Macaca mulatta: one gene and its partners. The protein of the gene in region 4 purifies or fractionates together with the protein of the main gene of each other region. This does not show direct contact. Links are inferred from orthologs where the notes say so. Each region holds a gene or a part of one and is shown on either strand. Other genes may lie near its edges.

Evidence for each region.
Region 1: the proteins of STAT3 (region 4) and TRIM59 purify together in Homo sapiens (affinity purification with western blotting; 4 studies listed by BioGRID). This does not show direct contact. The link is inferred for Macaca mulatta from reciprocal best matches to the Homo sapiens genes STAT3 and TRIM59.
Region 2: the proteins of STAT3 (region 4) and CEBPB purify together in Homo sapiens (affinity purification with western blotting; 3 studies listed by BioGRID, with this or other methods). This does not show direct contact. The link is inferred for Macaca mulatta from reciprocal best matches to the Homo sapiens genes STAT3 and CEBPB.
Region 3: the proteins of STAT3 (region 4) and PTPN11 purify together in Homo sapiens (affinity purification with western blotting; 3 studies listed by BioGRID). This does not show direct contact. The link is inferred for Macaca mulatta from reciprocal best matches to the Homo sapiens genes STAT3 and PTPN11.
Region 5: the proteins of STAT3 (region 4) and HIF1A purify together in Homo sapiens (affinity purification with western blotting; 4 studies listed by BioGRID). This does not show direct contact. The link is inferred for Macaca mulatta from reciprocal best matches to the Homo sapiens genes STAT3 and HIF1A.
Region 6: the proteins of STAT3 (region 4) and PIAS3 purify together in Homo sapiens (affinity purification with western blotting; 5 studies listed by BioGRID). This does not show direct contact. The link is inferred for Macaca mulatta from reciprocal best matches to the Homo sapiens genes STAT3 and PIAS3.
Region 7: the proteins of STAT3 (region 4) and PTPN2 purify together in Homo sapiens (affinity purification with western blotting; 7 studies listed by BioGRID). This does not show direct contact. The link is inferred for Macaca mulatta from reciprocal best matches to the Homo sapiens genes STAT3 and PTPN2.

What each region holds. Positions count from the first base shown.
Region 1 is NC_133407.1:63,616,533-63,620,904, reverse strand, and holds the start of TRIM59 (tripartite motif-containing protein 59), read left to right. Parts: upstream 1-1,483; 5' UTR 1,484-1,570; intron 1,571-1,747; exon of another isoform or gene 1,748-1,813; intron 1,814-2,483; 5' UTR 2,484-2,556; intron 2,557-4,372. UniProt on the Homo sapiens protein: E3 ubiquitin ligase involved in different processes such as development and immune response. Serves as a negative regulator for innate immune signaling pathways by suppressing RLR-induced activation of IRF3/7 and NF-kappa-B via interaction with adapter ECSIT.
Region 2 is NC_133415.1:103,041,773-103,045,497, reverse strand, and holds CEBPB (CCAAT/enhancer-binding protein beta), read right to left. Parts: upstream 2,402-3,725; 5' UTR 2,201-2,401; coding exon 1,166-2,200; 3' UTR 561-1,165; downstream 1-560. UniProt on the Homo sapiens protein: Important transcription factor regulating the expression of genes involved in immune and inflammatory responses. Also plays a significant role in adipogenesis, as well as in the gluconeogenic pathway, liver regeneration, and hematopoiesis.
Region 3 is NC_133416.1:119,657,110-119,661,375, reverse strand, and holds the start of PTPN11 (tyrosine-protein phosphatase non-receptor type 11), read right to left. Parts: upstream 2,808-4,266; 5' UTR 2,622-2,807; coding exon 2,608-2,621; exon of another isoform or gene 1,336-2,607; intron 1-1,335. UniProt on the Homo sapiens protein: Acts downstream of various receptor and cytoplasmic protein tyrosine kinases to participate in the signal transduction from the cell surface to the nucleus. Positively regulates MAPK signal transduction pathway. Dephosphorylates GAB1, ARHGAP35 and EGFR.
Region 4 is NC_133421.1:66,665,804-66,669,438, reverse strand, and holds part of STAT3 (signal transducer and activator of transcription 3), read left to right. Parts: intron 1-28; coding exon 29-127; intron 128-243; coding exon 244-379; intron 380-1,768; coding exon 1,769-1,821; intron 1,822-2,039; coding exon 2,040-2,134; intron 2,135-2,250; coding exon 2,251-2,390; exon of another isoform or gene 2,391-2,476; intron 2,477-2,868; exon of another isoform or gene 2,869-2,903; coding exon 2,904-3,116; intron 3,117-3,635. UniProt on the Homo sapiens protein: Signal transducer and transcription activator that mediates cellular responses to interleukins, KITLG/SCF, LEP and other growth factors. Once activated, recruits coactivators, such as NCOA1 or MED1, to the promoter region of the target gene.
Region 5 is NC_133412.1:134,833,499-134,837,133, forward strand, and holds part of HIF1A (hypoxia-inducible factor 1-alpha), read left to right. Parts: intron 1-3,134; coding exon 3,135-3,247; intron 3,248-3,635.
Region 6 is NC_133406.1:119,438,389-119,442,586, forward strand, and holds the start of PIAS3 (E3 SUMO-protein ligase PIAS3), read left to right. Parts: upstream 1-1,283; 5' UTR 1,284-1,300; coding exon 1,301-1,324; intron 1,325-3,311; coding exon 3,312-3,729; intron 3,730-3,886; coding exon 3,887-3,971; intron 3,972-4,198. UniProt on the Homo sapiens protein: Functions as an E3-type small ubiquitin-like modifier (SUMO) ligase, stabilizing the interaction between UBE2I and the substrate, and as a SUMO-tethering factor.
Region 7 is NC_133423.1:83,486,648-83,490,282, forward strand, and holds part of PTPN2 (tyrosine-protein phosphatase non-receptor type 2), read right to left. Parts: intron 2,426-3,635; coding exon 2,216-2,425; intron 1,147-2,215; coding exon 994-1,146; intron 1-993. UniProt on the Homo sapiens protein: Non-receptor type tyrosine-specific phosphatase that dephosphorylates receptor protein tyrosine kinases including INSR, EGFR, CSF1R, PDGFR.

The DNA of each region.
Region 1 (4,372 bases), on a different chromosome or scaffold from region 4:
AGGTGATCCACCTGTCTTGGCCTCCCGAAAGTGCTGGGATTACGGGCGTGAGCCACTGCACCCGGTCTAGAGCCCATATCTTTATTTAGCACATTAGTAAACAAAATGACTTTAGTTATCAGAAGTTAAGTAATTCAAACTTAAAGCTGTTGGAACTTTATTCTGAGCCTTGAGAGGAATGTGGCTACAGCCTGAGCCAAGCAGCAGGCATCTGCACCGTCTGCCTTTTGTTTCTGTAAATAATTAAAATCGGAGGAGCAAACCATACCAGAGATACAACCCCCTGAGATCACTACCCGTCCTCACGGAGTAACGAAGTACTCTTTCTTGGAATGTAGCAATCTGTAACCTACCAAATAGCTGTAAGTATGTACTGGTCTCTTACGGAAAATGAAATCCTGCTAAAATTTGTCTCTGGCCACCTAGGTGAAACCTTAACTTCTTCACTTTGGAATGCTGACCCCATTTGGAGCTGGTGTCTCCTGGGTGGCTACCCTCAAGCTTTACGCTGGAATAAACTCTTATCCTTAATCATATTTCCTGAACCTATTTAAGGTCGACAGGAGAGGGAAGCGGAGATGTCTTGAGATAAAGCTGAATAAAGTTTCTCAAGAAAAAAGGGAAAGAGACCTCTGAGCTGTAAGTTGTTTTCTAACTCTAGGGAGTTAGAGGTGAAGTAGGAACCTGAAGTTGGAAGTGCTGAGTTGGACAGCCCTCATCTCTAGGCAATACTTTAGTAAAGTGGAAAAACGGGAGAAGACGACGAAGGCTAGGGAGAGATGCACCCAACCCAGTCCCGGGTTTCCCACTCGCTCTCGGAGTTGGGTACAAAGAGTGTTCCAAAACCCCTTCTCCTGTGCTCAGCCCAGTGCTCCGGTGGGTCAGGTCTCCGGAACGCGTAAACAAAAGCAAACAGCTGAGCGGCGGAGGGCGCTGGCGACAGGTGTGGGTGTGCCCTGAGGATGCGTGGCGACTTCCCGGAGCAGCGGGTCTGTGTGGCAACGATGGAAGACACTGCATTCCACAGCATAGCAGCAGGCCCTGCCCTGGATGGCTCCAAGTAAAAGACAGTTCCCCAGAAGCCGTCGGCCGCCGGCGATTCGCCTCCTCCCGCGCCAGACCCCGCCTCTCCCCCAGACTACCGGTGCCATCCAGATGCCCCAGGCGGGACCCCAGCTCACGAAGCCCACTGGCCGAAGCTCCCCACAGGCTAGAGAGCCGCTCCTTCGAGGCCAAACGTCCGAGAGGCGGCCTGCGCCTAGCACGCAGGCGTGGAAAGCTAGGCGCCAGCCTCGATCTGACCGCCGCCACCTGCCTCGAGCCGCGCCGTCCGCCGTTTACTTTCGAACGAGCCCAGCAATAGTTCCCATTGGCCGATGCCGCGCAGTTGAAAGCTGCCTGCAGACTGCGCCTGCGCCGCGAGGCTCCGGGCGGCCCCGCCCGGCCTGGGCACCTGAAGCCCTTCGGGGCGGAGGAGGGCGGGGACTCGGGGCGACTCTCAGCATCAGCCAGGAGCCGGTGGCTCTCTGTTTCGGCGCTGTGGAGTCGCCTACTCCGCCTCCTCCCCGCGGTGAGTCTAAGGACCTTTACGGATCCGAGAAGGTGGCTCTGAGTCCTTTTTCTTTTCCTGTAGCACAGGCTGGTGTTCCAGTGTGTTTGCTGGGGAGTCCTGGGGGCGTGACGATGGAGGGAGTGGCTTGGGACCTGCATTCATTCCCACTTGTCCCACACTGGAGTTTGGGGAACCATTCTCCCGTCTCTCCACTGTGGAGCTGCGTTCCTGTGAGGGAGGAGGCGCTCTGTGGTGGCCAGGGTGAGCTGGGCCAGGCCGAGTCGGTCAGCCCCGCGGGGCTTGGGGTCGGGCGGTTGCGGAGGCGGAGGCGCTTTAGGAGGGAGGCCTGGGAGAGTGGAGCTTTCAGAGGGGGAGGGGAAGAGTACTGCCATTTTGAGCCCCTTTGTGGGAGGTGCTCGTAGGACTTAGGTGGGATAGGTGCAGTTACCCATTTTACAGATGTGAAGCCTCACTTTTGAGAGATATTTGATAATACTGACTCAGGTACCACAGCATTGAAATGGCAGAACAGAGAGATGAGCAAACTATACTAAATCAGTTACAATTTTGAGCTGGCAAAGTATTTTACTCCCATGGATGCTTTTGTCTTGCAGTTAATTTTAAGCACTCTAAATGACCGTGAATGTTTTTTCTGCCATCGCCGTTGGTGGGTCATATTGTCGAGAGCTCATAAGCTACTTGACGTTGTAAAGAGGTCCTTTGTGACCATCTGTTTGGTCAGAGTTCGGATTTTCAAGGAACAAGCGATACCTCTACTGCAGCTCCAGCAACTGTGTTGGTGTTTGTGACTTTTTGGAAAACACAGTGAAGCATAGTGAAGATAAACATCAAAGACAGTGAACTAACAACCATTTTTATGACATGAGACAATAAATTGAAAGCATTAAGGATAACATTATTTTAATTTTAGAATAAGAATAAAAGATTCTGGAGGAGTTGGAGAGAGTGTATTCAGTCCCCAAACCAGGAGATCAACAAAGTAGGTAAGTTCTGGGAGATTAAGTAAATATGAAAAACATTTTAACTGAGTTTTTCCAGAGTGTATCATTTAAACTATAAAGTGAAATTTAGAAGTCTTTTGAAAAAACATTATGTTGATGGTGTATCAAATTCCAACCATCTTACCGAAGGAGCGGAGCATAAAGTGAAAAACAGCTTCCTTTTCCGATCTGTACCTTAAAGGTAGTCACTCAACTCTTTCGTACATCCTTCTAGAAATTTTACAAGAATGTGTACATCTCAAAACACATGCAAAGCTGTTATTTTAGACATACAGATCTGCAGAACTACACAAAACTGCAAATTAAGTTACCTGGATACTTCTTCACTATGCATTCATATATTGGTCTTTTTAAATGAGTAAGTAGCTATTTAATCTGGCAAGGTGAAATTTTGATTTTAGGTAATGTTAGTTTTGACATTGCCTTTCACCAAACACGTTGATGACTATTTCCCACCAGATATATTTTTACTTTGAAAAGTATAACAAAAGTAATTAAAGCCTTAACTTCTCAAGTCAGTTCCTGGTTAAATTGAATTAAGTCTTTTTTTGTTTTGTTTTTAGTTTTTTTATTTTTTTAGTTTAGGAAAACAGGTTGATATCAAAATGAAATAAAATAGTACAGATGGACAAAGAGAGTTAAAATCAGCTGACCATAGGATTTTTTTTTTAATTTGAAAAAGTTAAGGTGATCTCTCATTATTTTTGTATATTTATATGTGGCAGAATTATTTTTAAAAATCTTGTTTCTCAAACTTTCCGCAACAGTGTTAAAAAAAAAAAAATCTTATATATGTATATAAATGATGAAGTTGTAGTTATTTCTTAAGTAAGTCTTCGATTGCATGAAATGTATTTCTTCTTTATCAGTTAGGGCCACAAAGATGTGAGCCCCAATTTGGGTGGTGGCACCACTTGAATTTTTCTATACTTAAAGCTGACTCACTAGAAGTCATGGGGCAAGTCATCGAATTCTATAATGTAGTAAAAATATTTTCGTTTCAGAGGCTGTGAAATGTAATGAATGTTTTACAACTGTTCATGTTTAGAGTTGAAAGGCAGGAAAGCATTAGTGAATTAAAGCTTAAAAACTGGTTTACACAAGAGAATGGGTAATGATATTTTTGGTGCTATTTTATCATCTGTTATACTATCTATTACCTAATATGCCAGTTAGACATCAGGGAGGCTCCCTAGTGAATTGGTCCTCTGGAGAAAGACTTAATAAAAAGTGTGGAAATTCAGAAATGTATTTGTTTTGACACTTAAACACAAGATGTTAGTGAAATAATTTGTCAGTAGAGTGATTTAGCCTCAGATTTCTTTGAGAAGATTCATTTTTTTATATTTATATTTCTTGGTGACTTTTAAAAGAGAAGCAGGAAATCTTGAGGTACTGGTTTCTACATGAGCTTAGTACTCACTAGAGGAAAATACATTTTACATGGGTTATTTTACTTTTTTGCTTTTTAAAAACATACAGTAGTATAAATTGATTCAAATTCATTTAGCAAAAGAAAGACTGGATAATAGGCAAGACACTTGAACATTTTTTTTAATTGTGTAAAATATACTAAACATAAAATTTACCATTTTAATATTTTTAAGTATACAGTTTGGTGGTATTAAATACATTCAGATTGTTTTGTAATTATCACCACCAACTATCTCCGTAACTTTTTCATCTTCCCAAACTGAAACTATGTACCCATTAAACCAGCAGTCCTCAACAATTTTGGTACCAGGGACCAGTCTCGAGGAAGACAATTTTTCCATGGACAGGTGCGGGTGGGTGGTAC
Region 2 (3,725 bases), on a different chromosome or scaffold from region 4:
ACCCAGGATCCCCTCTTTAAAATGCACATGTATACACAAACTGTGTTTTAAACAACCCACCCAACTACACTTACTAAAAGCATCTGCCCTGACTCGGGCTCAGCAGGACCAAGACCTGAACCCCTCCTCCTACAGTCACAGGCCTGCCTATCTAGTCCCCAAACACAGGGCAGGGGTCACAGACCTCCCAGCCCTTCCAAACCCAAGCCTGACACTCGGGACCAGTCAGAGGTCCCGGAATCTCTTCTCAAGCAGGGTTCCCAGCCACCGGTCCCGGCGCCCAGGAGCTCTGAGTTAGCCTGAAAGCCTGACCCATTACTCTTCTCCCCTTTCCCCCAGGGCTGGAACCCCATCTCCAAGCAGACCCTGTGGGTGGGGGGAGGGTGTAGCAGAGGAGGCAGAAAAACCAGCTGCAACACCCCCACCAACCACCAAAACCTCCAAAAATAACAGCAGCCCCCCACACACAACCCACTACACACCAGAAACGCAAAAACAAAATCCTACAAATCCAAAATAAAGCAAAAAAAAACAAAAGCCAATTACTGCCCCCAAAAGGCTTTGTAACCATTCTCAAAAAAAAGTTTATTAAAAGTGTTCTTACTTAATGCTTGAAACGGAAGATTCCCAAAATATACAGACGCCTCTTTTCTCATAGAAATAGATTATTTTTTATAATACAAAAAAAAAGACCAAAAAACAAAACAAAACAAAACATCAACAGCAACAAGCCCGTAGGAACATCTTTAAGCGATTACTCAGGGCCCGGCTGACAGTTACACGTGGGTTGCGTCAGTCCCGTGTACACACGCGTTCAGCCATGTTTAAACCGATTGCATCAACTTCGAAACCGGCCCGCCCGCCGGCGCCTGGAGAGGGGCAGAGGGAGAGGCAGAGAGTTTATCATTCATCTGTACACATAGACGTTTCTTCTTTAAATAACACCACGGGCGGGCGCCCCATCTGCATGTGCGGTTGGTTTGGACAAAAATATAGATATATATATATAATAAAATATTAAAATTACCGACGGGCTCCCCGCGCTGCCAAGTGCCCCAGTGCCAAAGTTTTGCCGGCGCCGCCGGGGGCGGAGGCGGGGGCGCGGGCGCGGGCGCTTCCCGGAGTCTCGGCCCCGGCCGGCAGGGGGACGCGCGCGGGGGCCGCGCTAGCAGTGGCCGGAGGAGGCGAGCAGGGGCTCGGGCAGCTGCTTGAACAAGTTCCGCAGGGTGCTGAGCTCGCGCGACAGCTGCTCCACCTTCTTCTGCAGCCGCTCGTTCTCGGCCGTGAGCTCCAGGACCTTGTGCTGCGTCTCCAGGTTGCGCATCTTGGCCTTGTCGCGGCTCTTGCGCACGGCGATGTTGTTGCGCTCGCGCCGGATCTTGTACTCGTCGCTGTGCTTGTCCACTGTCTTCTTGGCCTTGCTCTTGACCTGCGAGGGCGGCGGCGCGGCCCCCGCGTAGCAGGCGGCCGGGGGCGCCTTGGCGTCGGCGGGGCTCGGCGTGCCGGGCGGGCTGGACGACGAGGACGTGGAGAGGCTCCCGCTGCTGCCGCTCGGCACCGCCTGGTAGCCGAGGTAAGCGCGCAGCGCGTACGGGAAGCCCGCCGCCATGCCTGCGCCGCCGCCCGGCGCCCCGGCCTCCTCCTTCCGCTTGCAGTCCGCGGGCTCGAAGCCCGGCTCCGCCTTGAGCTCGGCGGGCGGCGGCGGCGGCGGGGGTGGCGGGTGCAGGGGCGCGAAGCAGCCGGGGTGCAGCGCGCCCTTGGCGGCCCCCAGGCGCCCCAGGCTCACGTAGCCGTACTCGGCCGGCTTCTTGCAGTTCTTGCCCCCGTAGTCGTCGGAGAAGAGGTCGGAGAGGAAGTCGTGGTGCTGCCCGGAGGAGGCGGGCGCGGGGGCGGGCGCGGGCGGAGCCGCCTCGAAGGTGTCCGTGGCCGTGGCGGGCGCCGGGGCCTGCGGCGCGCCCAGCGGCTCCAGGTACGGGCTGAAGTCGATGGCGCGCTCGTGGTCGCCGATGCTGCCCAGCTCGCCGGCTGGGGGGCGCGGCCCGGGTCTGGCCGCGGGGGGCGCCGCGGGGGCCGCCTTGCCGCCGTACGCAGCAGCCAAGCAGTCCGCCTCGTAGTAGAAGTTGGCCACTTCCATGGATTTAAAGGCAGGCGGCGGCGGCAGGGGGAGACATGCTGGGTCCCAGGCCACCAGGCGTTGCATGAACGCGGGTGCCCGGGGAGGGGGCCTGGGGCTGCCCGCTCCGGCCGGCCCGCAGGTGGCGCGGCCTCCCTGCTCTGAGCTGTCGCCGCTGCGTCGCTGCTGCTGCCGCCGCTGCCGGGGTGGCCGCTATTAGTGCGGGGGCTGGTGGCTGAACCCTCGGGTGGGTCCCCTTCCCAGTCCCGTGCGCGGCTCTGACTCGCTAAAGTTTCTCCTGAGCCCGGTTATTTATAAGGGCGGCCCGTAGCAACCGCTGCGTCACACCGGCCCCTCCCGCCGCGCCGCCGGGACGCGAAGGACACGGCCGCGGCCGCCCGAGACCCCCAGGAGGACGGCGGCAGGGCGCAGCGGAGGGACCGGGCACCCGGAGCGCGTTTTCGGGGGGGGTCCCCGGGCCGCAGGGGGCGGCCTCACGCCCCCTGCCCACCCCCGCCCGGCCGCCCCGGGATTGGGAGCGAGAGGGGGCGGTGCGACCCCGCCCCCAGACCGCCCCTCTGGGCTGGAGGCTGTCCTGGAAGGCGGGGGAATCGGAGGAGGGGGCGACCTGATCGCCTTCCCCCGGAGATGCGGCCCCGGCCCGCCCCCTGCTGGAGGAGGCGGAGGTTTCAGGAGGACCGAGCAGAGCCCCGACGGCGGACCAGGGGCCGCTCCCCGGGCGGAACCCTGGAGACCCCAGCCCGCAACTCTAGCTCCAGGAGAAGCGACCCATCTCCGTAGCCCTTCCCCCTAAACTCCCACCTCTTCCACAGGTCCCCGGCTCTAGAAAGGAGTAGACTCCACGCCTGTGACGATTCCCCTCTTAAGCCACCGCCAATATGAGGACCCCGGGGGTCGGGGGGACGGAGCAGGATCGCGCTGCGCTGGGGGCTGGACCCTGGTCCACGGTGTCCCGCCCCTAGCCCCGCCCACCGCACCTGCCGCCTGCTTGCGGCTTGTACACACCCGGGTCTTCTCTTGCCCCGCGCCGCGCCATCCGACCTGGGCCCTGCCACACTGTGCGACCTTGGATGAGTCACTTCTCCCAGCTGCAGTCCATGAAGGGTGTCGCTACTGTCAGCGGTGGTGGCATTGCTCCCACCAGACTCCCAAACCTAAGGCTTACGTTGTGGGCTGCACATCAGAGAGAAAGGGACCCCCATGGATTGTGCCAGTGGAGGCCCAGAGGGAGCATGGCATGGCATACCAAGGTCACATGGCCGCATGTCCCCCATTCATCCCAAACGAAATGCCCTCATCTGGGCCCTAAGACCTATTGCCAGCCCCAGAGGCCAAAAAGCTTCTGTTTCTGAAGCTGCTGGGGAGGGGCTTAAGCCAGGCCTCACGGGAGGGGGGTGGCATGCAGGAAACAGAGAAGGAAAGAGAAAGAGAAGTTTTTACCAAGTCCCTGCCCTGTGCTCAGGGTGGGCCTGGACCCCGAGGTTCTTTTTCACCCCACCAGGAAGATGCTTTTGCTGCTGCCGTTTCACAGATGGGAAAGTGACAACGGCCTGCCTGGACTTGAACACAGACCCAAGGCCCTCTAACTACC
Region 3 (4,266 bases), on a different chromosome or scaffold from region 4:
AATACCAGGGCTGGAGGGGAAAAGGAACAACTCCATTTCAAACTGTCATCTTTACCACTTGCTGCTTTGACTATGCCCACACTTCCATGCTTCTAAACTAACAAACTGTACAATGTAGGGTCTATTACTACACAGATCTTTTCCCAACCCTCAGCCCCCTAAAGCAGCAAATCCTTACTTGTCTGGAAGAGCAGACACCAGGAACAAAAGGCTCAATGACTATTAGACAGATTAAAGAATAGACAACTGTTTATTTAAAAGCTCCCTAAAGAATTAGAACATTTGAGGCTATACACTGTTCCGTTGAAATGCAGTTATATATTACCCAGATCCGCAAGCACTTGCCAACAGACCTGTCCAAGTCACTCACTTCCTACGAGTTCTGTTTTCTTTTTTCTCCCCTTTTTAAATTCCAGATCCATGTAAGAATAACATGCCAGGTCTGTTTGGAGGAGACATTCCTAATATTTTGAAAAATCTCATTCAGGCCGGGTGCGGTGGCTCACGCCTGTAATTCCAGCACTTTGGGAGGCCGAGGCAGGCGGATCTCGAGGTCAGGAGTTTAAGACCAACCTGGCCAACATAGTGAAACCCCGTCTCTACTAAAAATACAAAACTCGGCCGGGCACGGTGGCTCATGCTTGTAATTCCAGCACTTTGGGAGGCCGAGGCGGGCGGATCACAGGGTCAGGAGATCGAGACCATCCCGGCTAACATGGTGAAACCCCGTCTCTACTAAAAATACAAAACATTCGCCAGACGTCGTGGCGGGCACCTGTAGTCCCAGCTACTTGAGAGGCTGAGGCAGGAGGATGGCTTGAACCCAGAAGGCGGAGCTTGTAGTGAGCCGAGATTGCGCCACGGCACTCCAGCCTGGGCAAGAGAGCGAGACTCTGTTTCAAAAAAAAAAATTAGGCCGGGCGCAGTGGCTCAAGCCTGTAATCCCAGCACTTTGGGAGGCCGAGACGGGCGAATCACGAGGTCAGGAGATGGAGACCATCCTGGCTAACACAGTGAAACCCCGTCTCTACTAAAAAATACAAAAAACTAGCAGGGCGAAGTGGCGGGCGCCTGTAGTCCCAGCTACTTGGGAGGCTGAGGCAGGAGAATGGCGTGAACCCGGGAGGCGGAGCTTGCAGTGAGCTGAGATCCGGCCACTGCACTCCAGCCTGGGCGACAGAGCATGACTCCGTCTCAAAAAAAAAAAAAAAAAAAATTAGCCAGGCATAGTGGCATGCCGATAGTCCCAGCTACTTGGGAGGTTGAGGCAGGAGAATCGCTTGAACCTAGGAGGCGGAGGTTGTGGTGAGCCGAGATCGTGCCACTGCACTCCAGCCTGGGCTGTTAACAGAGTGAGACTCCGTCTCAAAAAAAGAGAAAAAAAAAGAAAGAAAAAAAAATCTCATTCAAATAGCCTCAATAGCTTGAATCGTTTTTTAAATGTCTGAGACAGTGACCATAATTGAACAACCATGGAAAAGAATAGACAATGGGTCTTAAGTGTGAGTGGTATATAGAGTGATTATATAAAATAGCAGGATCATTATCTGAAAACAAGTCACACTACTGTTTGACAACAAAATTAAGGCTTACAAGTGGTTAGCAATAGTTACAAAATAATAGAAGCAACATAGTGATTAAAAGTAGGGATTCTGTCTCCACCACCTACTAGCTGTGAGGTTAAGCAATCTACTTAACCTCTCCGAAACTCGGTTTACTCATCTTTACAATGGGGATAATAGTAGCCATCTGAGAGGGCTGTCGTCAGAATTAAGCAAATGTTAGCTATTAGTAGTAATATTACCCTGATCTTTCAAAGGATCTCATTAACTCACTAATTCTCCTTAGTTTCAAATCTTGTCATTTACTAGCATGTTGCTTCTGGGCCTCGGTTTCCTCATCCATAAAACGGGTACCAGTAAAGTGACCTGACTGTTAAGGTTGCAGTGAAGGATTAAATAACGAGATGCGGCTCCCTTCCTTTCCATCTCCCAAAGCGAATATCGCAAAGGAAGGAAATACTTCTAGTGGCTGCAGATACAGTCAGTTTTTCCATTTCTGGCACGTGAGGGGTGGGAGAAAAAGAAGACACAAAGGGGCACATAAAAGGGTCAGGGGTCCTTCGTTAAGACCCCAAATGCACGCAAGTGGCACAGTGACCCAGAACGACTAGACCACTGGGGGCCCGGCCCCGCGCAACTCCCATCTCGTGTCCCAAGGAGCCTCCCCAAGTGAGCAGGGTTATTTCGGAATCACCATGAGGCAATTCTCATGAGGCAATGGGTCAGGAATGCGGCGCTGAGCCGGGCCGCTGGCGCCCGTGGTTCCCTAGGCGGCTCTACCTGCCCCAGGCCTGACGGGCATCCCCCGGGCTGCCGCAGCCGGAACTCAGGGAGGCAGGAAATGAATGGGGACCCAAGGGGTGGGGGCGCGGTGGGGCCGGCCCCCGGGCCGAGGAGGGACAGGGGACGAGGAGGGAACTGGCCCCCAATCCCGATCCGGGGCGGGAGCCCGAAGCCCGGCCGGGGCGCCCCCTTCCGGACGGGGCTGACCGAATGCGGCGGGGGCCGGGCCGAGGCCCGGGCCGGGCCCCTCGGGGCTCCTCACCTCCGCGATGTCATGTTCCTCCCGCCCTCCGGCTCCGCGACGGACCCGCTCCTTGCTCAAGCTCCACTAGGCTCGGTCACATCGGGCTGGCCCGAGGGAGGCCCGCTCGGGACCGGACGCGGGGCAGAGCCAGCCGGCCGCGCACAGACCCCCCTCCAGGCCTGGGGATCCCGGAGACTGTGCAGCCGCCCCCCAGCCCGGCTCGCTCCTCCTCCGCCCCCGCCCTTCGCCGCCGTCGCCCCCGTGATGTCACCGCTAGCGACGCCCGCCGCCACTTCCTGCTTCCCGTTAGCCGAGGACGGAGCCACGGCCGGGAATGGCAGCGCGGGGGTTCCGCGGAGGCGCTAAGCGCAGCGTCCAAAGCATCCTTGCTTCCTCCCGGAAATCGCGGCCGCCGGGTGTGAGCTGCGCGCTCGGCGGCTACGCCACTCCACCGACCGGGCGCGTCCGGGCCCACTGCCACATCGATTTCATTCATTTCGTTCCACAAATCGCCACTCGACTCATTAGCTGTGGAACCTTGGGGAAATTACCTACTGTCTCCGAGCCTCAGTTTCCTCCATTAGGCTGGGCGCGGTGGCTCACGCCCGTAACCCCAACAATTTAGGAGGCTGCAGCAAGAGTGTCGCTTAAGCCTAGGAGCTAGAGGCCAGCCTGGGCAAAAAAGACCTCATCTCTACAAAAAATGCAAAACCCTAGCCAGGCGTGGAGGCTGCGGCGGGAGGATAACTTAAGCCCGGGAAGTCGGTGCTGCAGTGAGTCGTGATCACGCCACTGCCCTCCAGCCTGGGCGACAGCAAGACACTGCCTAAAAAAACTAGTAATAGACCGGGCGCGGTGGCTCACGCCCGTAATCCCAGCACTTTGGGAGGCCGAGGCGGGCGGATCACGAGGTCAAGAGATCGAGACCATCCTGGCCAACATGGTCTCCACTAAAAATTCAAAAATGAGCTGGACGTGGTGGCGTTCGCCTGTAATCTCAGCTACTTGGGAGGCTGAGGCAGGAGAATCGCTTGAACCTGGGAGGCAGAGGTTGCAGTGAGCCGAGGTCGCACCACTGCGCTCCAGCCTGCAATAGAGCCAAACTCCGTCTCGATAATAATAATAACAAATACTACTTTGGGGTGGGAGCAGTGGCACACGCCTGAAATCCCAGCACTTCCCTTTGGGAGGCTGAGGCGGGCGAATCGCTTGAGTCCAGGAGTTGGGAACCAGCCCCGGCAAAATAGTGAAATCCCATCTCTACAAAAAATACAAAAATTAGCCGGGCGTGGTGTCACGCGCCTGTAGTCCCAGCTACTCGGGAGGCTGAGGTGAGAGAATTGCTTGAGCCTGGAGGGTCGAGGCTGCTGTGAGCCGAGATCAGGCCACTGCACTCAGGCCAGGTATGGTGGCTCACACCTTCATCCCAGCACTTTGGGAGGCCGAGGCAGGAGGATTGCTTGAGCCTAGGAGTTCAAGATCAGCCGGGGCAACATGGCACGACCCTGTCTCTAAAACAAAAAACAAACAAACGAAAAAGCTGGGTGGTGGGGAAGTATTATTTTGGACACTGTGAAGCTCGAGGAAGAGGGCAAGGCCAGAAACGGAGAAGCCAGTCAAAATACGGGAATACTGTAGTATTCTGGTCTGGGAATAATGGTGACTCAGACCAGATTG
Region 4 (3,635 bases):
CCCAGCTCAGTCCCCACTTCCTCCGCAGACCCACTCCTTGCCAGTTGTGGTGATCTCCAACATCTGTCAGATGCCAAATGCCTGGGCGTCCATCCTGTGGTACAACATGCTGACCAACAACCCCAAGGTTAGTACCCCCTCCTTTTAGTTGGTACCCCGGGATCTCTTGCGATGTATGGGTACCTAGTACAGACAATGAGCACCATCCCTCATCTAAACAAGCAAATGTGTTCTTTCCAATAGAACGTAAACTTTTTTACCAAGCCCCCAATCGGAACCTGGGATCAAGTGGCCGAGGTCCTGAGCTGGCAGTTCTCCTCCACCACCAAGCGAGGACTGAGCATCGAGCAGCTGACTACACTGGCGGAGAAACTCTTGGGTCTGCGTTTAACCCCTTCTCCCTCCCGCCTGCCCAGAAAAGGGATCCGGCCCACAGGGCTATTCATTTGGGTCATGTCTACTGAGCGTTAGGCCATGTTTCTTTCCTGAGCAAGGTGCTGTGCTGGTGCCAGGAAACAGGGGCTCCATCGAGTTGGGGAGTTGGGGTACAGAGACAGTTTGCAGTTTTCAGTCGAGGTGATCATTTTTGAGGTGGGAGGTGGATTTCTTTTCTCCTGGTTGCTGTCTCATTCACCCACTCCAACTAACCTTAGAAGATCTTTTAAATGTGTGTTGGAAGGTGGCACTAAAGGCTTGACATTCCCTGTCTATTTCTTTAATAAACTACAGGCTAGGTTTTTTTTGTTTTTTTTGTTTTTTTTTTTTTGAGAGACAAGTCTCGCTCTGTTGCCCAGGCTGGAGTGCAGTGGTGCGATCTCGGCCCACTGCGACCTCTGCCTCCCCTGGGTTCAAGCAATTCTCCTGCCTCAGCCTCCCAAGTAGCTGAGACTACAGGCGCCCACCACCACGCCAAGCTAATTTCTGTATTTTTAGTAGAGATGGGGTTTTACCATGTTGGCCAGGATGATCTCCATCTCTTCACCTCGTGATCCGCCCACCTCGGCCTCCCAAATTGCTGGGATTACAGGTGTGAGCCGCCATGCCCGGCCTAGGCTAGGTTTTTAAAAAATAATTAGTGGAGGCCAGGCGTGGTAGCTCACGCCTGTAATCCCAGCACTTTGGGAGGCCAAGGTGGGTGGATCATGAGGTCAGGAGATCAAGACCATCCTGGCTAACACAGTGAAACCCCGTCTCTACTAAAAATACAAAAAATTAGCCAGGCGTGGTGGCGAGTGCCTGTAGTCCCAGCTACTCAGGAGGCTGAGGCAGGAAAATGGCGAGAACCCAAGAAGTGGAGCTTGCAGTGAGCCGAGATTGCACCACTGCACTCCAGGGTGGGCGACAGAGCGAGATTCCGTCTCAAAAAAAAAAATAATAATTAGTGGAATATTTTATGTGCTACCTGGGCTAGAAGTAGCTTTGTCCTAATAAAGCTGTTGCCACCAAATACACCTGTCTGACACCTGATGTCAGCTTGTTAGTGCTGCTGCTGGTCCCCAGCCCGCCACCCGAGGCTGGGAAGAGCAGGGGGACTTGTTACATCACCCCCTATCCGTGCTGGGCTACCCAACAACAAAAGTGGGTCAAATGATGGGGTAGTGTTTGTCCTCGTGTGTGCACACACACAACGGTGGCCACGTTCAAAGATGTGAAAGCCAATGATTTTGTGGCCCATTGTGGGACCAATGTGTGTGTGTTCTGCTTTAAGAAATAACCTCTTGACCCCAAGCGGAAAATGTACTAGTTGATTCTTTTTCTTTTCCTTCAGGACCTGGCGTGAATTATTCAGGGTGTCAGATCACATGGGCTAAATTTTGCAAAGTAAGCAATCTTGTAAAATTCTCGTGGGAATGGGAATGCCTACCTGCACGGCTGTCGTGGAGGGCTCTGGCTTGAAGGCCCTGAACTCTTGGTCCAGCAGCCAGTAGGACCTGCCTGAGGGTAGATGGGCCTGAGGAGTTGGGTGGTGCACTGTGCCCCTAGGAAGGGAAAGGCTGGGATGGCAGCAGACTTGGCTTTCCCATTACTCTTTTCTGCAGGAAAACATGGCTGGCAAGGGCTTCTCCTTCTGGGTCTGGCTGGACAATATCATTGACCTTGTGAAAAAGTACATCCTGGCCCTTTGGAATGAAGGGTAGGTTGGACAGAGTGTGCACAGATGTAACCAAGTCCCCTGCTCTCAGCAAGCCAGTGGCAGGGGATGGATGCCCTGTTAGCAGTAACAACACTGTTCCTCCTCCTTGGCTCCAGGTACATCATGGGCTTTATCAGTAAGGAGCGGGAGCGGGCCATCTTGAGCACCAAGCCTCCAGGCACCTTTCTGCTAAGATTCAGTGAAAGCAGCAAAGAAGGCGGCGTCACTTTCACTTGGGTGGAGAAGGACATCAGTGGTAAGGGAGGCTCCCACCCACCCCACCTGCTGGCGGCTGCTGAGGCCTCATCACCGCTGCTAGTTCCAAGCACCTACTGCCCCCTTGTGGTGGAGATGGCACCGACTCCCTGCCTCACTCAGACTCGCAAAACACATTTGGGTGACTTCTAAATCCTTCTAGCTGAAGGATTGATTTGTCTTTGTTTTGCTTGCTCCAGTGACTATTTGTTGAGAAATTTGCAATTTAAGTTGTATTCTTCATCCCTTTTTCTACTTAGTCCTGTTAATATATCTTACACAAGTAGTTACATTCAAGTTTATTTTCTATGACCCAACTGGTAGCCTCTTCTAAATTAGAAGCCAGCCTGAACATTTCCACCGTGCCAGGCCACTCACTGAACAGTGTGTTCAGGGTCTCAACACTAGGGTGGCTTAAGTTTTTTCCCCTTCGAGAAAAGAAAAAATGGGCAGTTTTCTCTGAGATGACCTAGCTGTAGGTTCCATGATCTTTCCTTCCCATGTCCCGTGACAGGTAAGACCCAGATCCAGTCCGTGGAACCATACACCAAGCAGCAGTTGAACAACATGTCATTTGCTGAAATCATCATGGGCTATAAGATCATGGATGCTACCAATATTCTGGTGTCTCCGCTGGTCTATCTCTACCCTGACATTCCCAAGGAGGAGGCATTCGGAAAGTATTGTCGGCCAGAGAGCCAGGAGCATCCTGAAGCTGACCCAGGTAGTTGTTGATTTTCCATGTTCCTGGCATTTAATTTTTGGGAAAAGTTAGAAATTTGGGGATCCTTGGAGGATAGATAGGCAAATGCCTGAATAACCTGGGGGATCATTATTTCTCCTTATGGGAAAGAACTGTAGTGAGTGCTTTTGTTGGGGTGACCGATGGGATTTGAGAGGAGAATCAGAATCAGTTAGACTAGTGCAGTTCCTGCTCCACAGAGAGTGCATGAGTCTAAAGAGGGGATACAGCTTGGACAACAAAAAATACAAAAAAATTACCCGGTGTGGTGGCACGCATCTGTAGTCATAGCTGCTTGGGAGGCTGAGGTGGGAGGATCACCTGAGCCGAGGAGTTCAAGGCTGTAGTGAGCGGTGATCGTGCCACTGCACTCCAGCCTGGCTGATAGAGTGAGACACTGTGTCAAAAAATACAAATAAAGAGGGGATTAATACACATACGTCCCCCGAAACATGCCAAAAACACGAGAAGGGAAAGTGAGGGCAGTTAACGGATGCTCAGCTG
Region 5 (3,635 bases), on a different chromosome or scaffold from region 4:
TTTAGAATTCTGTATAAAGGAGGAGTAAATATGCGATGAGCAAGGACCTAAGTGGGCTGTCAGTGAGTTTAATATATGAGTTCTAATGTGCAGAGTTGAGGTTTATATTGACTGCTCAGTGCTTCCCTGGGGCTAGACTATAAATGGATGGATATTAGGAAGTCTTGTTCTGATTTGGTAATGATGTTAATGCATTATTCTAAATCAGATAGTCTTAATATAGTTTAAATGTATGTTTCGAACCAAATGTTCTTTTTTAAAGCACACAAACATTTTGAAATCATTCCTAATGTGGTTATGAATTATTGATGTTCCATTGGGAAACTAAAATGCAGATTTTTCTCTTTTAGAAACTAGGGACTGTTGCAAAGCATCATATTTTAGTGATACACTGAGAGCCAGTGGTGTGTTTATAATAGGACAAACAGTCCTATTATTCTTCCGTATAAATTCTAGAAAAATGCTTTAGAATTTATAAATTATTACAAAATAAGACTTATTTTTAGAGAGTTTAAAATTTAGGGGTTTTTTTTAATGGTTTGTTGTGTTTTTTTTCCTCATTAGGAAAACACTAGTACTTTTCAGTTACCTTGATTTTTAAATTAATCTGCAGGTCCCCATTCAAAGGCCTTGGGTTCTTTTCAAAGGTCAGTATAATTCAAGCTTAGATTATGAAGGACTGAACATACCCAAAGGATTTTGCATGTGGATCTTTACTGCCACTACCACAACCATCACCACCTACGTACACACACGACACACTCATTCTCTCTCTCTCTCTCTCTCCCTCCCACACTCCCTCCCTTCCCCTCGCCTCCCACCCCCACCCTTTGCTCTCATGGCATCTTTTAAAAATATACTCTTGAATCCTTCCAGGGAGGGCAAATTCACTTCTTATCTAAGTAAACACAAGTGGCATGCATCAGTACCAGGACTGCCCATCTTGCCTAGTTCCATTATTAAATGAGTATAGGCTAGAATTCATCTTGTTCCTTAAGAGTCCAGTATTTCTAGCTAACCATGCCTACATTTAAACTTACTCTCATTTCTTTTCTACTTGACAGTGTTCTTCCAATATACTAGCATTACAATTTCTAGATTTGATTTTCTCTCCTGTCTTATTTCCATCCGTTTTCAAGTCTATTAAGATCTACCTCTTCATTTGTCTTTTACCACCATTCTTTTCACTCATACTACTGCTACTGGCTCAGCCCTCTCATTACAGTCACGTAATTCTAACATATATATTGCTGCTAAGTTAATTTTCCTTAAGTTACTGATTGTGCTTTTTAAAAGCCCCTTGTTGAATATTTAGGCAGGACTCCATGTGGACATCCACAGGCCTCCGTAGTACAGCCCTAACGTTCCCTTCTGACTTTGCCTTCCTACTCTTCTATGTGTACTTTACATTGTGGACAAACTACTATATGCAGTTTTTCAAACATGTCCTATTTTTCCTACCTCTGTGCTTTTCATTCTCTTCCTTCTCCCTGGAACCTTCTAACCCATCTCTACTTACTGACATTCTAATGTCTCTTTTTCTAAGCAGGACTTCTTGATTCCCCTTGACTAGAAGTTATTCCTCTAAGCTCTCCCTATCCTCCCTTAAAGCATTTTTATAAGTCTCAAGTACCAACTCTACATTGTGTTTTTGTTGACCTTACTATATCTACTACATTTTTAACTTCTTCAGGAAAGGTGGTGTGTCTTACTCATCTTTGTATTGCCTGCAATCTCTAGTCCAGGTTCTAAATAATAAATATTTTTATATGTGTTTTGAAGTACATTGACCAATGAAGATAAGAAATCAAGAGGCTATTTCCTTTTTTTTTTTTTTTTTTTTTTTTTTTTAGACAGTGTCTCACTTTGCCACCCAGGCTGGAGTGCAGTGGCACAATCTCAGTTCACTGCAACCTCTGCCTCCTGGGTTCAAGTGATTCTCACGCCTCAACCTCCCAAGTAGCTGGGATTATAAGCGTGCACCACCACACCTAGCTAATATTTATATTTTTAGTAGAGATGGGGTTTTACCATGATGGCCAGCATGGTCTCAAACTTCTGGCCTCAAGTGATCTTCCTGCCTCAGCCTCCAAAGTGCTGGGATTACAGGCATGAGGCATGAGCCACCATGCCCAGCAAGATGCTATTTCCTTAGTCACCTAAATATAATCTCATTTTTAGTTATAGAAGGTTTGAAATAGGAGTGAATAGACTTTACTTAATTCTGACTTTACTTTATTTCTGTAGTTTTTTTTTTTTTTTTTTTTTTTTGAGATGGATTCTCACTCTTTCGCCCAGGTTGGAGTGCAGTGGCACAGTCTCAGCTCATTGCAACCTCCGCCTCCCGGGTTCAAGTGATTCAACTGCCTCAGTCTCCCGAGTAGCTGGGATTACAGGCACCCACCATCACACCCAGCTAATTTTTGTATTTTTAGTAGAGACAGGGTTTCACCATGTTGGCCAGGCTGGTCTCGAACTCCTGACCTCAAGTGATCCTCCTGCCTCAGCCTCCCAAAGTGCTGGGATTACGGGCATGAGCCACCATGCCCTATTTCTGTAACTTTTGATAAGTCATTTGATCTGTTGTTGTTTTCTTATAGTAACAAAGTAGAAATAATTTTCTGCCTGCTTTACTAGATAAATTAAGGGGAAAAAATAAGATATGTAAAAATGTTATTTGTTATTAAAAAGAAAGTTGCTATTTTAAAGGTTCTGTAAATACATAGAGTGCTTATTAGAAATTGAGCTAACACATTCAGGAAAGAATAGGAAGAGTTTGCTGAAGTTCTTTCTTTAGGGATTCTTGTGTACCAATAGCACAGTTAAAGAGCAAACTCATACCATTTTTATATTTCTCTGTAGTTTGACTAAACTTACTTGCTTGAATGATTAACTGTTATCCCAAATACGGATTATCTTTCAGTCAACTCAGGGAATCAGAGCTACTGAGTAGTATGTGTCAGATCTCTTGGGTGTGCTGGAGTGAGTAAAAGGGGAATGAATTACTGTGTTCATGCTGAGACTTTTAATTGAACAGGTATTCAGTTGATCTAGGTGATGGGCACTTTGCTACTTTCATTGTAACAAATTTGTATATTTAGTTGCTTTAAAACTTTATTTCATGCTTTCATTAGGCCCTGTGAAAAAGGGTAAAGAACAAAACACACAGCGAAGCTTTTTTCTCAGAATGAAGTGTACCCTAACTAGCCGAGGAAGAACTATGAACATAAAGTCTGCAACATGGAAGGTAAGTGAAAATTATTTGTGATTGATGATACACTTTATTTATACATAGACATTGCAGTATTAAGATAACTTTAGAATTGTGAGGGAAGGTTTACAGTTCCTTGGTGTTTGGTTATGTAACATTTATACCTTCAACTGATTTGCATATGATTCCTAAAATCCAGAACCGTGTAGTAATTTGCCAATTTGAGGCACAAACTTAAATTAGGTGAATTGTGGCACTGGTATACTAGGCTTACCTAATCAGTTGGCTTTGCCAACCACACAATATTTGGATCCTGGTAGGGCTTAATTTTCTATTAATCATGGTTTTGTATCTTTGTTCAATGTTGAGACATAGTCATCAGTGCAAGAAATAACTATCAAACCAGCCCGGATGATGAGATGAA
Region 6 (4,198 bases), on a different chromosome or scaffold from region 4:
TTCCTTTTGTTGGCAAGAAAACCCCTCAATTCATCTTCAGCTACACCAAAGGTATGGGGGCTCTGGTGGAGGTACTGTGCAGGGGTATCTGGAGTAGTTACTGTTAGGTACACTTTGGATTCAGTAGCCCAGGCTTTGCCCTAGGGAGAGACAGTTGTCATTTCAAGGAAGACTGCTTTATACGGTCAGACACCTGGTTCACACGGCCTTAGCAGCAGCGTGCCACCACCCCAATCCCACACATAAGCGTGAGGGGTCACAGAGGTAGTGAGAATGATGGGATCCAAGGATCTCATCTCTCCAGATCCACTCACACCAGGAGTTAATCGCTCCAGCGCCAGGCTCTGAGTCCCTCCCTCTCTCGCCCGAGCTCCGCCCCCCTTCCCTCTCGGCGGTCCTGGCGGGCTTCCCGTGGAGGGGGCGGCCCCAGCCCGAGCGCTAGGCCGGGCGGAGCTCCGGCCCGGGCGGAGCCGCGGCCGCCGCGTCCGGCCGCTGGACCGAACTTCTGCCGTGCGGACAGCAGGAGCGGCGCCGAGCCCCATGCCCCCACCTCTCCAGCCCGCCCTCTGAGCCTCCCGAACCCTCTCTCCATTTCCCACAACTGTGCTGGTAAGTCCCGCTCCCCGCACCAAACTTTTTTTGCTGCTGAGTTTGAGTCCTACGATCGGACCACGAGCTGCATTGTAGTTGGTGTTGGGGGGAGGAGGAGAGGGTGAATTGAGTATAGCTGTCTTGAACTGAATGCCGACTCCACGGCTTCCCTAAGACGGATCAGCGCTCGCCCATTTCCCGAGTTGGAAGACCTCTCGATTTTAGTTGCTTAAACTTATGTAGAGATGGAGATGAGGGTTTGCGCTCCAACTTCGCTACCCCCTCCCCCATTTCTCTGAGCTCTAGCAGTTCCCGATACTTTCCCTCCATCTTTCAAGTATCTTTGGCTCTCTAAAAGCTTGTCCCCTCCCAACTCTGCCGTGGCAAAGCCCCCCTCCACCAGGCACTTCGGACCCGCCTCCTCTTCGTTGCCCTAGGGGACCCCGCGATCTTGGGGGCCATAAACTCCCTCCGGGGCTACGCGTCCTGCCAACCCGCCGCAGACGTGTAGCTGCTGGGTCCGCTGTGGAGGGAGGGGCTCAGGCTGGGGCTAGTCCGAAGCCAGGCGGGCGGGGCCGGGAAGGGGAGGTATAGGGGGCCGGACGGGGCGGAGCAGGCGGCATTTGCGGCCGGCGCCGGGGTGGAGAGTTGTGCGCCGGTCCCTGGGCCTGAGCTCCGGCTCCGGCTAGGGCGCCTGCGATGTCTCAAGATGGCGGAGCTGGGCGAATTAAAGGTACCGGCCCCCTCCCCCATCCCCATCTGGACTGATTCCGGCGGTACGCCGTGTCCGGGAAGCGACCGAGACTGGGTGCCGGGGCTCGGGTGGGCGCCGACGACGTGGCAGGCACGGGCTGCTGAGGATGGGAAAGAAGTGGCTGAGAGCGAGGAAGGGGCTGCGGCGGGGCTCCGGGGGCGGGGCTGCGGGGCAGATGTAGGGGTGGGGCCGAGGGGAATTGCAGCTGTTGGGGGCTGAGGCGCAGGGGGCGGGGACGAAGGGTAGAAGTCGGATTTAGTAGTAGGGGCAGTTGTTGGGGTAGGGCCAGGGGGAAAAGCTGCTCTAGAGGCACTGGGGGCGAGTCGATCGAGGCCAAGAGATGCGACAGTAGGGGGCAGATGCAGGGATGGGACCGCGGGGCAGATGTAGGGGAGGCTCCGGGGGAAAGGCAGCTGAAAGGGTAGGGTCTTTGGGGCTACTCTCGGGATCCGAGCTTTGGGAAATACCAGTAGGCGGCTGAGATGCAGGGGGCGGGGCTGTGCGGGCTGATACCTCGAGGGGTGGGGCAGAAGCATCCTGGAGGCTCAGAGGAAGGTCCTGCCTTAGTGAATCGCGATGTTTGGGCAGAGGCAGAGGCATGTGAAACTATGAGATAGAAAGGAGGGAAGTTATAGGGAAAGCTAATGGAAAAAATAAGACAGGACAGAGAAGATAAAGATTGGGAGAAAGAGGAGCAAGTTTCTCATCACATTCCACAAAAGGGGTCCAAGACAAAGCCTCCTGTGAGAAGAATTGTGTAGGGCTAGCAAGCCCTGCCCATGACAGGATCTCCTAGAGATTCACAGAAGGGAGTCCTCCCTCTAAGGAGAGCGCTCCCCTCCTTCTGCCACACAGAGTTTGGAGGGTGACCACGTCTGAGGACATCTCATAGAACCTTAAACCACCGAGTTCATCCCCATGCCTCCTGGTTTTCTTCTGCCCTTTGAAATGGAGCTATGGTCCTGGGCAGTCTGGAGGTCTAGCCACTGGGCCCAGCTACCTTCAGGAAATTTGCGATTCTGTGCCCTGACTCAGAGGCTTTTCCTTCATCCACCCAGGGCCTCTGTTTAGAGCTCTGCCCGCTCCTCTTCCACCCGTGTAGGGGGGCTGTAGGTTGTACAGGAGTATTATTTTCTCTCTGTAGGAGAGACGCCAGATAATGGTTCCTGGCAGATAGAGTAAACAGGCAGGATACTTGGACTCAGTGAATCACTGTTAATCTCCTCAACCTAAGTTTTGGTCCTGTTTCCCTTCCAGAAAAATAGGACTAAGTTGTGGGGAGGGGGCGGTTATATTAATGATTCCAAGAAAGGATCTGGGGGAGTAATGAGCATTGAACCCTGACCTGAAAACCCCGGCCCACAGAAGCTTCAGAGGCTTGGGGGAAATAGCTGAGGAATTAAGGTGGTTTGGAGGGGTGGGCTGAAGGGCACAATCCTCCAGCCACCTGGCCCCTTTCTTCCCCGTGGGGCTGTCTGGCTTGAATCCTCTTGTCTCTCCCTCCTTCTCCCTGTCTCCTATCCTCTTCCCAGGAGGCTGGGATGAGTTTGAGTGTCTGAGAAAGGGCAAGAGAGGAGATAAGCAGCTTAAAGGAGAGTCCAGACTAGAGGCAGGGTTGGAGGCGGGAGGCTGTGTAGACTTGGAGGTGTGTCTGAGGGTGGCTTGCTGTCTGCCATTCCCTGCCCCACTCTGGCCACTTCCAGGCCTGGGGAGACAGACAGTGTTGCTCAAGCTTGGGGTGGGCAGGGGGTGGTGATGATGCTGACCTGATGGTTGCTAAAGTGGGACTGAGATGTCCCTTTGGATAGGTTGACTACCTGGCAGTAATCCACTAGCTGCGAAGCATCATCTTTCCCATCAGTGCTGGAGGGAAAAAGGCACTGCCCACCTGGTAGCTCAGCCCATGTCTTGGCAGGGCAGGCCTGTGCAACGGAGGATTCTCAAGCTTCTCTGTTCTTCTCCACAGCACATGGTGATGAGTTTCCGGGTGTCTGAGCTCCAGGTGCTTCTTGGCTTTGCTGGCCGGAACAAGAGTGGGCGGAAGCACGAGCTCCTGGCCAAGGCCCTGCACCTCCTGAAGTCCAGCTGTGCCCCTAGCGTCCAGATGAAGATCAAAGAGCTTTACCGACGACGCTTTCCCCGGAAGACCCTGGGGCCCTCTGACCTCTCCCTTCTCTCTTTGCCTCCTGGCACCTCTCCTGTAGGCTCCCCTGGTCCTCTAGCTCCCATTCCCCCAACCCTCTTGGCCCCTGGCACCCTGCTGGGCCCCAAGCGTGAGGTGGACATGCACCCCTCTCTTGCCCAGCCTGTGCACCCTGATGTCACCATGAAACCATTGCCCTTCTATGAAGTCTACGGGGAGCTCATCCGGCCCACCACCCTTGGTATGGCTCTTTGTGGTCCCTTAGTCTTCTGGACTCCCTACCTGTTCCCCAGACATTTCTTAGGCTTTAGTCCTATGGGATCAGTGACCTGGGATGGGGGTGATTTCTGTGGCTGCCTGTGCATGGGCTTGGAATAACTGCCCCTTTGTATCCTCAGCATCCACTTCTAGCCAGCGGTTTGAGGAAGCGCACTTTACCTTTGCCCTCACACCCCAGCAAGTGCAGCAGATTCTTACATCCAGGTACATCTCTTCCAGTCTTCCTCCCTCATCCCTGGGGGGTTACCCCTGGACTCTGCTTTCTGACTTTCTTCTCTTCTGCCCTGCGCTTTTCCCTATCCATCCTCTTGTGCCTACTTGTCTCTCGTTCTTTTGTGTGTCTCTGCTCTATCCTCCGGACATCTAACTTTCAGCCTCTCTGTGCGTTCACCCCTGCCCTCTGGGGGCTACATGCTGATATCTCGTCTCCC
Region 7 (3,635 bases), on a different chromosome or scaffold from region 4:
AGCTCACTGCGATTAGAAAGGGAAATTTTCCTAATCTTAAACATCTGAAATAACTTTTACTTCACCGAAATCACTGGTCACTGCCAAAGTAATCCCAGGAAACCCAATGTTCCCTAAGTCTAGTGTCTGAAGCAGGACATGTTCTGTGGGCTGAGTTTTCCACACATTGAGTATTTTGGCTCTGAGTACCCTAAGGTTTATGTTCATTAAGAATATTTTAATGCTATTTAAAGATTTGGAAAAAATCTTTTAAAATAAACCTTTATTCTGACACCAAGGGTCTAAGTTATATTCCTGTATTGGCTAGTAATCACAGAAATGAAAGTGCTAGTAAATAAGTTCACATACGAGAAATAGAATGAAAAGTCAGTCTATCTTATATTACGCATCAATTTACAGTATCTGCTTACGTCCAATACGACGTGATTAAACCATACAAAAAATGGAGTCTGTGGTTGTTTCTATTTTACATTTTAACTTAGTGCATAACACAAACTTCTGATCAGTCTTTGAATTTAGGTTCTACAAATATGCAGTAAAAATAGCTTCATGAGAATAAAGCCATCAACCAGAAGAATGTAACATTTTGCTGGAATTTCATTATATCTGCCATAAATATTCAAGGTGCTTGTTATAAAGTCAAATATTATATAAACCAAGTATTAGTGTGTAATGAGGGCAAAAGTATCTGAAGTTTCCAGCTACTTTAATAATTAAAAGCTTAACCACCCCCAAAATGAAAAATTCAGTTTCTTTAATGAAATCTTGTTTCTACAAGGGCTTTTAAGTGACAGACAGGATTTAACCTGAGGCTGAGTATATATGAGGAAGCTAGCTAAAATTTTACAATTTTAAGACAGCCAATTGGATTTACCACAAAAATTCAAACATACTTTTTGAAACAAAGACGACAAGGGCTCAAGTGGGGTGCAGTTATTTGATGCTGTGTGTATTTAACAAATAGATATGATTTTAAATGTGTATAAAGTTTACCTGTATACTAGAATCTCCCTTTATACATTTTGCTCCTTCTATTATAGCCATGTATGAGAATCTCAGTTGATCTGGGGTCTGAATAAGACCCATTCGGTATTTTCTCATGTTCAGTAACACTTGTTTAATGTTAATATCATCTCCTTTTTCCATCTGCAAGAAAGGCAAATATCAGACAAATCTTTTGTTACTGGAACCCAGGAAACAGAATCAATGCAGGATCATTGCTAAGATTTTTGCTCTGCATTTTCTCCTCTGAAATAACGATAATTTAACCCTGCAGCTATAACTGTTACATACACAGCAACTATCCCAGCCTACTCATCCCTCCCCACATCTCAACCACTCAAGTAGATGGAGGACTTTGATTCTTCAGCTGATTCACAATTGATTCCAAACCAATCATAGTAATCTCATTCCTTCTGGCCAGTCATTGGTTAAAGGAAGGATTTATAATCAGTTCTGACTAGTATAAGGACTATTTTTTTTTTTTTTTTAAAGTCATGGCAGGAGTCAACCTTTCTGCTCACTGCCCTTCCGCCTCCTTCATGTCTGCACTACAGACACGATGTCTGGATACACAGCACCCATCTAAAGATGGTGGGAAAGAGGCCAGTAAGGAAAAAATAAAGGTCCTAAAAAGAGAAAAAAAGATTTAGGCTGTATACAGGCTGGGACTGGGATTGACTGGTGCAGAAAGAATTAGCCCTTAGGGGCACAGACAGGAACCTCAGGCGAGTAACAGTAATACTGACATTTATGGAATGCTCAGAAAACACCAGGGACTCTTCTAGTGTCCCTTAATGTATTAATTCATTGAATTCTCACAGCAACCCTGTGAAATATGTCTATCATTATCCCTAGTTTTTAAATTTAAAAAAATGAGATAAAGTATTTGTCTGAGGAGGAAGTCAGTATTACATATGAATTTATATTTGAAAAAATGAGGGGAAGAGACCTATTATTTCTGTAATATAAAGCTACCAGGAAGAAAAACATCTTCTTAGGAATCTCTAAAATCATCTTGGATACATTTCTACCAGTCATGAATAAGACGCAGTTGCAAACATGGAAATGAGATTTTTAGGTTTTTCCAAAAGTAGAAGTTAAAAGTTGAAAAACCTCAGTTCTATGATACAACATCAGTGCTTCTTCCTTGCCAGTGGAAGCAATTAAAAAAAAAAATCAATGAGATTAAAATGAGATCGCAAGAAGCACTTACCAAAACAAGACAAGTGTCTACCAGAGAGAAGGTGCCAGAGCGCCCAATGCCTGCACTACAGTGGATCACCGCAGGCCCATGGTCAGGGTTCAAGGAGCCAGATTCTCTCACTTTAAACAAGAAATTGAGAAATGAAGCTGGTGATTCAGGGACTCCAAAATCTGGCCAGGTAGTATAATGAAAGTGAGATATTGTTCTGGTTTCACCACTCTAAAAAGTGAAAATCAAGGGAGGACAAGTTAGTTCTATTTTTTTTTCTTTTAAAAAAACTACTTCAGAAAGATCATGTGTTTTGTGTAATCCTTTACAGCCATATGGGCTGTTTATACTATGATTTTTCCATTTGTTTTCTGACAATCCCATATACAAATTAGGGAAGATTTTCTTCAGTGGAAATTTGGGATGTATTAATAATAGCTAACACATATAACACTTACTATTTTGGAAGCCTGTTCTAAACACTTTCCTTATTAACTAAATCCACACAACAATCCTATTAAAACCCATTTTCCTGGTGAAAAAACTGAAACAAAGGGTAAGTAGTTTGCTCAAGGTCACACAGCTGGAACAGAACCAGGATTCGAAGCAACCTGGGGCAGCCTTTGGGTTCTCAGTTACTAATCTGTTACCATACACGTTACCAATATTTTCTTTAATTCATGCATCATGAATGGACTACTTTTTTCTATTTTAAAAAATGTCTGCCAGGCGCAATTGGCTCATGCCCGTAATCCCAGCACTTTGGGAGGCCGAGGTGGGCAGATCAACTGAGGTCAGGAGTTCGAGACCAGCCTGGTCAACATGGTGAAACCCCATTTCTACTAAAAACACAAAAAATTAGCCAGGCGTGGTGGCGCGTGCCTGTAATCCCAGCTACTTGGGAGGCTGAGGCAGGAGAACTGCTTGAACCCAGGAGGTGGAAGTTGCAGTGAGCAGAGATCATGCCAGTGCACACCAGCTTGGGCACCAAGAGTGAAACTCCATTTTCAAAAAAAAAAAAAAAAAATTCTACCAGTGTAATTTTACATTCTTTAACATTTTCCTTTTTATGAATTTCAGAGTTTATTTTTAAAATATAATTTCCTGTTTAACATGATTATCTGTTGAATTCTGCTACACAGGCATAGGGGAGCAACTCAAGAATTAATCTAAAGAACCAATCTTTACATTTTTAATTGGAATTGTTCCTCTAATTGTTGCCTTTCCCCATGGCAATAATTTCCAGTCCTAAAGCTGTTTATATGCTTTTGCTGATGTGCTAAAATGGTTTACCAACATGCTAAATGTTTCCTGTCTCTTAGGCCTGCCTGGCAATCACTAACGCTTCCTGGATATTCCTGATGATCTGTATTTCTAACTCATTATGAAAATGCTCTTCAGCTTTCTGCCAATTGCCTTTTGCCCCAAGGAGCACTTCTCT